2 linked regions of the Drosophila melanogaster genome follow. The protein of the gene in region 2 interacts with the protein of the main gene of each other region in a pairwise test. Each region holds a gene or a part of one and is shown on either strand. Other genes may lie near its edges. The genes, in order: bru3 and TwdlC.

Region 1 (5,054 bases), on a different chromosome or scaffold from region 2:
GCATTCACTTTGCTCAACACTTGTGTTCATTTCATGCAGCCTATGCCCATCCTCTCGCTTCGATCCCATTACCACTGCTCGCTTACCGCACTCTGGTCTGTGTACTTTTGTTCAAATATTCATTGCAAATTCCAATTTAATTTTCGCTTAAATTGGCAATACCAACAGCGAAATCTGCAGTTGATAGCGCCGCTGAAGTTTGTTTTCTTTAAAGGTATTTTCAGTTTTACCTGCGTGTTGGTGTATTTTTTTTAGTGCCGCTTTGCGCAGATTAACATATTTAATAGTAACTGAGAAAAGATATCATTAAATAGGAACGAGTTGTACAATAAGTATTTTGCATATTTTATTTCCACATCAGCATTATTATAATTTTATCTCGCCAATTTATCAACTGCACCATTTAAGCTACGAGTTGTGAAGCACTATAAATTAATTAGAGTTTGTGAAACAATTTTTGGCACACTGACTTATAATTGAAACTTTCCTACAAGTGCGGCAATTGCTAAATTTAAAGACGCAAAAGTAGAACCATAGAACGGAAAAAGTTGAGATAAAGGTTAGATAAAAAAAGCTTAAATAGGCTTAAATAGTTTTCTCAATTATAAAGTTTATACTTTCTTATTAAACTTCCTATCCCCTTGCTTGTTTATACAATTATTCTTAAAGGTAATTTCACCTAAGGCGACAGCCCATTAATACCAATTTTATATTAGTACATTTACGAGATTTGCTTTACCAGCTCAGTATGCACAATATAATAGTCTCATGCTGCGACATTCTTTGCTTTATTGCCTTAAGATTTATGTCATTGAATTGGCCTGATTGGGCCAACTGGGTATGAACCAACTTGGCATTCTTTCCAGTTTCAATAAATGGGCACATGCTGCGTATGAGCAATATTTCAATTACATTTTAAACGCTTACCAATAGATTTCATAATCTTTCTTTTACTATTCATAAGCTACTATTTGAAACTTTTCATTGAATAAGTTGTCAAAGGAGGACATGTTATAAACATTTCCTGTGAGAGAGACAGTGTGTTAGAATTGCCCTTCAAGGGGCCTGAAAAGGTCAAATGGCAACGTAAGTCAACGCCGCTTCCTTTCACTTCATTATTACTTTCTAATCCATACTTATTCTATTTCTAATTAAACAATTAATAATATAAATTTTTCAAACTATTATAAAAAAAGGAAAATAGTGAAATCTTATGTAAGGTTATTGCTGTTAAATTTTACCCATTGATGTTGCAAGCGATTGCAGTAATTTACTAACTTACTTCTGGGTGAAATGGAGAAATTATGGCTTATATAAATCGCATTGATAAATCTCTGGCCAGCACGTAATATGGAAATTAAAACACAACTCAAACAAAGAGCAGTCTAGAAACGGCAAAAACCATCTCACCCACATGCACATTTACTTGCGCGCCAAATGTTTCCTCACATGCAAAATGGACATGCAGCATTGTTTTAATTTTTTAGTAACTTAACAAAACGAAAACGCGTTTGGTATGTCCAGGGTTCGCAAATTACAGTGTCTACTTTTTGTGTTCTAAGTATAAAAACGGCAATTAAAAATTACTATTCCCTAAGCGAACATTTAAGATTAAATACTACTAGTAATATCAATTGGTCTTAAAATGAACTCGAAAATAGTGGAATATATTGAGAACATTGTAGGAAAATGTTTTCAGGCCCCAAAATGAAAGAAAATTGTCAAATGCAAGACTTGTCTCCAAATCAAGCCCTAGATGCCAGACATTTGTGGTCGGCCAGCTAGGTTTCTTTAGCAGTCACAGGAAAATCTGGTCTATTACGTTTGTGACCCAACATTTTTGCAGCCTCATGGCATGGGAAATGGAAAATTGTTACTGAAAATCGCAGACTCCTCCAGACCCAGGCATCCGTTTGCAAATGTTTCAAGTTTAAAATGAGCGTGTAATTAGAAATGTAAAGAGGGTAATGAGGAGGGCAGCCCAGGGTAAACGGAAAGTGGAGTCGAGTCAGCTGCCGAGCAAAAGTCACTGCTGCGTCTCGTCCCCAGGAAATGTACCACGCAAACGAAGAAAATGGCGAATAAAATTGAAATAAAGTGGTGCAAATGCAAAAACGTGCACACACCCGTACAGCTCACCTCGCCGCAAAAGTGCAGCAAGCACCACCTCAAACCGTTGGAAGGAGGTTGAAGTTTCTGCTCCCAACAATGAGTAGCATAAAAAGTTATGTATAAAAATCTTTCGCTATTTTTTGCTTGCACTTCCGTTACAAGGCGAACCGAATTTGCATGTGACATTTGTGGTTGGGTTTTTGTTGATGGATGAGGGTCGACAGATATCTTTGAATCAGCAAAGTTGGCTGATAAAGCCATGAACGACGTTGTGTACGTGTGTTTAAATTAGAAAAAACTGTGATATATTTACCAAGGGAAATGCAATGGTATCTTAATTACAATTTTTGATATGTTTTGATAATAGTTAGAGGATATTAAAAGATCGCTGCATGAAAGATTAAGGAGTCTTTTGTGCGATGAATTAAACTATAATAATACTGTGCAAATTTACTGAGATAGTCGTTTGATTAATGTGGGCTAAAAAAATAAAAAGAGAAACGGACATATATCAAAATATAACACTATGAATATGTAAAGCATCTTCTTATTCTATGAAACTTTTGACTAAAATCATTTTAATAATTTATATTTTCAAAAATAATTGTTTATCAAAAGTGTTTATTTTTTTACTTACCACTTTGTAACGCCCAATTAAGCTGTAAGCGCTTTAATAGCCAAACATTCGAAAACACGACGAAAAGTATTTGTTGTTTTATTTGCTGTATAATTCAATTTGTTTTCACGGTTAGCATATGTAATATTTACTCTGCATATTTATTCAATAATAAATATAAATTTGTATTTCATAATTTTTTTTTTTTTTTCACCTAACAGTGTTTGCTGGTATTTAATGATCTGGCGCACCTCCTGGTCTACACGGTTTTATTACACATTGCATTAGGCACTACATTAATTCCTGATGTTTTTGTTGTATTTTTTAATTTCGCTTACGCTGTTTGCAGAATTAATTTATAAAATATTTAAAGAACGACGCGCCGCAAGCTTTTATTTTTGGTTATTTCTGTTTGTGTTGTTTTTTTTCCCATGAATTATTGATGGCGTTTGTTTTGTATTTTGTTATTCATTTATTACTTTTGATAATATTTTTTGCAGACGCTGTAAAACATAAATGCACAGTGATGTTTAAAGAGGGGGTGTAGGGGGGCGTGTTACAAATCCATATGAGGGCGCGTAACGGCGTGGCGATAATAAACATGCACAAACACAATAAATTTTACATTATAAACAGCAAGAGCAACAAAATGTACAATTAGCAACAGCGAAAGCATAAATTTCGGTTAAGAGTTTAAACGCGAAACAGCAAAATCTCGTATACGCCATGTGAACGCGTGATAATTATGGCTTTTGGGCACGCAGTATAGGCCACAGAAGATATCTTGAAATTGTTGTGTATATTTTTTACATCACTTTCCCGACATCCTGCAAAATGAGCGCTGAAAGCGAAATGTTTTCCAGCAAGGACATGGACGCGAGGTGGCAAGGTCTGTCAATAGCTAAAGTTGGCTGACGAAGCCAAAAACAAAACACTGGCTGCGAAGAAGCCAAGCGCAGCCTTTTGGCAGCTGGAAAAACACATATATGTACACGTCTTTGTGGGCGCAGTCTGGGCTAGTAAAAGGCAAGCGCGGAGCAAAAGGACTCTGGCTGTAGCGACAAAAAAGGAAATCAAGCCAAAAGCTGAGAAAAAAGCGCAAGCGGATGATGAGACCTGACTGGCCCAGAAGAAAATGAAGAGAGAAAAGCGGCGAAAATCCAGAGCCAAGTGATACAAAAAGGATACTCCTCACCCATTTAATGGCGAAGTGTTCATTTCGGGGAAAAGTACATCATCCTTTCTAGGTGAATACTATGAGTAACAGTCATTTATCGGTGCGGTGTTTATTAAGGATACTTGGGCTGTATATCTAGCTTGCGGAGAAAAGCGAGATCTAGGTGACAAGAAAAGGATACTTCTTAGCTATTAGAGAGATGTTTCTTAGTATATGGATACTATGATTCCTTGTTATTTATTAATAAGATTAATATTACACAATAATTAGCGGAAAAGAACGAAAAAGAGGCCAAGAATAAATACATTTCTTGCTGGATACTATTCTCATGTGCCTTGAGCAACTGACGCGGACAATGACGTGACAATGAACAATTATGGGTCAGTTATTGGCCATCTTTGTCCATTGTCATTCTCTTCATTTCTTGAAAGATCCCCTTTTAATGTGATTTATTGATTGGAGGTCAAACTTTATACGTCCCACTACCTCGGGGCATATATGTATATGCCATAAAAAAAAGGCAGAGAAAACGTATTTGTCATGCCTTCCACTCTGTTATCTTTCTATCTTCTTTGGCCCTTATTCTTTTGCCTGTTTAGCCATTTTCCATGATGACTTGGCTTGTGTACGCCCGACTAGGTTTTTGCTATTTACACACGCCTACATGGCAGGGGTCCCCTTCTCAGCCTTCAGAGGCCATAATATCTTTGCCCCGCCAGAATGGCTGCGTCGTCTGTTTTATAATTTTCACAGACGTCGCCCCCATCACAAGCCCCCCTCCCCACCATCTTTCAAGTGCCCTGGGTTGACACTCGCACATTCAAACACTTCATAAAAAAAGCCGCGCTTGTGCCCATTATTTATGTATATTTTCACCTACATTTATTTTATTTATGGAAGGCAAAACGAATGGAGACAGTGAAACTAAAAAGGAACGCTGTGAGTTAAGATGAGCCAAAAAGCCTAAGGGAGAAACATCGAAAACACCAGATGAGAATGGAAGAGGATATCTTTAACACAAAAAAGGAAGGACTTTGCCGGCATAAAAAACAGGCGCTATTAATCAGAAGCTCAATTTAAAGGCAAATTTAAAAAGCTGCGAAATACTAGCGTTTATACGTTTTTTTTTTTTCAATATTTAAAAAATTT
Region 2 (4,260 bases):
CACTCGCTAAATTGAATGGACCGAGTGTTTTCAATGGGCTTATAAGTTTGAATACGTTGAATACGCTAACCAGACGGAGACGACCGACATAAAGTGAAGGAACACGCCCACCTACGATGCGACTCGCGCGAGCACAGAAAGCGAACTGAGTGTGCAGCCGGATTTTTCATCCGGACTGACTGATCAAACGGCCACGAAACTCGGGCACGAACCCGAAAGGCAGTTCCTCGTACTCCTTTTCCCGGCTTTTCCATCCACATGTTGCAACATAGCTCTGCGCAGGCAGCAACTGTTGCTTTTGGCGGGAAGTCTCAGCAACATGTTGCTCCGGCCTCTTCCCTCTAAGTGCTTTGCCATTTTGGCCATTACTTTACGATTTTTCTATGAGCACAGCAATGAGGAAAGCCGTCGAAATTGGGCCTACAGCCGAAATCAACAAAACGTAACGCAATTAAGCAGGCTGTAAATTTGCCAAGGTCACGACTTCACACAGGGTCAATTATCATATTAGGCGGCATGAGCCATCATTAAATCATTGAAATGCGAAATCCATTGTTGTTCCACTGTGTTTTATCCGAATTAACTGGACCATTTACTAAGCTTAAAGAAAGTGTATAAAACTTTTGAGGAATATTCCACACTAAAAGGCCATTTAGTTTTTTTTTTATAAATTTGATATTTATTATCTACTCTTTATTAAAACAAATGTAACAAGTTATACAAACGAACAAACAACGAGATGTGCATGTGGGGAGGTTTGGCACGTGTGCATGTGTGAATTGGGAACAGGGGATTGGGAAGAGGTGCATCCAATGGACATTAGACTATGACAAACTGTGAAATTGGCTAAGGCATCACCATCTCAAAGCAGCGGGCTTCACTTCAGCTTCTTAAGGAAGTAGCGGTTGGGAGGACCGTAGCTGGTGGCAGGCACATGGGAAGGAGCCAGTCGCTGCTCGGGCTGTTCCTCCACCACGATGGGCGCCATTGAGGGCTCCTCAATGGCCAGGGCGGCGGGAGCGGTGGCAGGGGGCAGATACTGGTTGGCAGGAGCGGACAAGGTGGTCTGAACCTCCTCACCAGTATAGGCAGCTGCAGTGGGTGGTCCGTAGACCGCGGAGGGAATGGCTGGCTGCTCTACTTCCGGCTCGGGAGCAGGAGCCAGGGTGGTGGGTGGCAGGACATCGGCGACCTCAGCCAATGGAGCGAAATCCTCGGCGGTGGCCTGACGGGGCTCCATCTCTGCAGGTGGGGGTCCATAGACGGGGGCCTCGTCCTTCTTGGTCTTGTACTTGATGAAGTAAACCTCTGGCTTCGATGGCTTGGTGGGTGGTGGCGTCGGGATCACGATATCTTGCTCCTGCTCGGGCTTCTTGTGCAGCACATAGATCAGAGTCTTCTCCTCATTCTGGGGTGGTGGTGGCACAACTGGCTGACGGATAGCCGGAGCAGATGGTGCCTTGATGAACACGATCTTGTAGTGCTTCTGCTTGGGTCCCTGCTGGTGGTGAACTCGGGTCTGGATGGCATCCTCCTCCTCGAAGTCCTTTGGCGGCACATGGACGTAGATGTGCTTGTGCACCTTGGTCTCCTGGGGGCCATTGTTGTAGCCACTGGCATGCTGCACTCCGGACAGGCGGTGGGCCATGTTGTAGCTGTCATCGTAGGCATTCAGGGGCTCAGCGGCGGCGGCAGTGGGAGCCACTTGCTCGATGGCATCCAGATGCATTTGGGGTGGCAAGTAGGTCTGCTGGGGCGGTGCAAAGTTGGCAAACGACTGCTCCTGGGGCAGAGGCTGGTAAATCTGCGGGGGAACGGGGTGAGCTGTCCAAAAAGAAAGATTAATAAGATTAAGATAAATATATGGAGTTAATATATCTACATTTGCTGAATTATATTACTATAATCAATGTTTAATCTAATCTTTAATAGTTGTCATGCTCATAAGACTTTAGCAAAAATCTGTGTCACATAAATAGCTTTAATCTTTTTCGCTTTAATTTCCTATAATGTTTCTATTTCATCCTCCGCCCACTTACCATTGAGTGGCAAAGCCCGCTGGCTCTGCTGCTGAGGCAATCCGTGGTAGGAGTACGGGGATGGGGGCTCAGGACGACCCAAAGTGGTGGCCACCAGGGAGGCCACGCACACAACGAACAGCGAGGAGACACGCATTTTGCTTCTGGTAATCGGAAATCCTTTGCTGCTTAGTAAGCCCGTAATCCTTTGGCTCGATGAAATGCTTCGATGGAGAAGCTCGATGCTCGACTGATGCTGACTTGGCCGCCGCGGTCCGAATTTATATGATTCGATGTCCGCAGCTCCGAGTGCTCAAAGTCTCATTACAAAAGGTAAACGAAATAAACGAAAAAATGAATTTAATTAAGCATCAAAAGAGACGCGAAGAGCTTCGGATGAACTTGGCCAAAAGCGAGTAGAAGGCGGCGCAGAGCAAAGATACGGATACGGATGCAGAGAGAAGTCTGCGACACGTGTCTTTTGGGTTCACAAGCGAGAAATTGGAGCAAACCCGTCTGCAAAACGAATCTCCCAGGAGGGGGCAACCCCATAGTCCACAATCAATGCCCTGGGCCAACGCGAAAAAATGTTTGCCCAAATCGTTATGTGTAACACTCTCCGCTGAGTATCTCGTATCTGGTATCTTGTAGCTCGTAGCTCGTAGCTCGTATCTCATATCTCGCATCTGAAAGATGCAGCAGCCGCAACCTTCGGCCAAGTGCGCCAAGTGTTATTTTCACAATTGGAGCGCACTTAAATTGCTGGCTCGAAATCGAAAGTGACCCACGATTACACACTCGACCGAGTCCCATTGATGAACTTCATTCATGTGACGCCTCGAGGAACTTGTTTGTCCAGTTTGTACTTCCTCGACAGCCGGGTCATGTGATTCCCCGGCAATCCAGTCAAGGGATAATCCATTTTTTCGCATGATTAGCAAGGAATCTAAATAGTGAACGGGAAATACGAAAACAACGTGTTGTGCTAGGACATTAAGCCAAGTATACATTAAATGTGTAACTTAGTAAATTTGTAAAACAAAGTTGCAGGTTTATTATGCTTTCAGCTTTAGTATTTTTCTTTATAATTATTTCTACTCATTCTTAAGTATCATTAAGCTTCAATGTTGTCTCATTGCATATGGAACTAACAATAGTTACTTTAAAAGATCCCAGTCATTGCATACAATACAATGCATTTTAACCCATTCTTAAACCCTAACAAATTCGTTTATAAACCTATAAATACACGCAGTCATCAGACCAAAAATAACACAATAACGAAGGGCTTTTCAAGGCCAGTTCCAAATTTCCCCCGAACTGTCAACCGTTGACGGCGGACACTTTCAACACCTACGATAACAATTACGAAACAATCGTAACAAAATCAAAATCAAAATCAATTTTCAAATTGAAGCCAAACATTAAGCGTCGAAAACGAAAACAATAAGTAATAAAACAAAACAGCAGCTACCCAAATAAAGTGAATAGCGAGCGGCATTTAATTGGATTTGCTGCACACAGCCATTGGTTCGAAAGTAAATAGACCGCCAGTACCCACTATCCAATACCCAGTAACCAACCAGTAACCAGCTGAATCGAGACGCTTGTCCACTTGCTGTCCACACACAGAAATCATTAATTGTAATTGCAGCCGACGCATCTCGACGCAGCGAGGTGGAGAAATGTCGAGTGGCTGTGCGGACACATGTAGCTTATGGCTATAACTACATCGACATGGCTATAAGGCGGCACAAGAAGTTGGGGGGCGTACGTAATGGCAACAGGGTTTTGGAGCTTTACGTCACCGTTCGATCGATTGGAAATTGGTGCACTTGGCCACCGAAGAAGAAGCCTAACGAGTCAAGCGCTGTCAACGGGAAGAAGGGTCCGGACTCAAAAAATAAAATCAGGGATGCAACTTAATTTAAACATATACATAAGTAAATAGTACATTGAAACATGGCATAGAAATTGATAAAATTGTTCAAAAATATCAGTAAAAATGTGCAAAATTATCCGTAAACGAGGTCAAAATATAGATTGTCATACCTTGCTGGACTCGTAAAAACATGCTTAATCGTTTGGCATTCAAGAATGAAAAAAAAATTTTTTGTCAATTTTTGCGAAAAATTACGATGTTACCCCTTATAAAAAATGGAAAATTTTGACAAAAAATTTAATTTCTGGAATCAAATCAAAAGTGATTGCGTTGGTTTGCTGAGGTCTTTAGCTCTCTAAA

Evidence for each region.
Region 1: the proteins of TwdlC (region 2) and bru3 interact in a two-hybrid assay, tested with the Drosophila melanogaster proteins (one large-scale study listed by BioGRID).

Annotation. Positions count from the first base shown.
Region 1 is NT_037436.4:13,795,275-13,800,328, forward strand, and holds the start of bru3 (bruno 3), read right to left. Parts: upstream 3,254-5,054; 5' UTR 2,750-3,253; intron 1-2,749.
Region 2 is NT_033777.3:26,992,849-26,997,108, reverse strand, and holds TwdlC (TweedleC), read right to left. Parts: upstream 2,278-4,260; 5' UTR 2,176-2,277; coding exon 2,040-2,175; intron 1,825-2,039; coding exon 878-1,824; 3' UTR 667-877; downstream 1-666.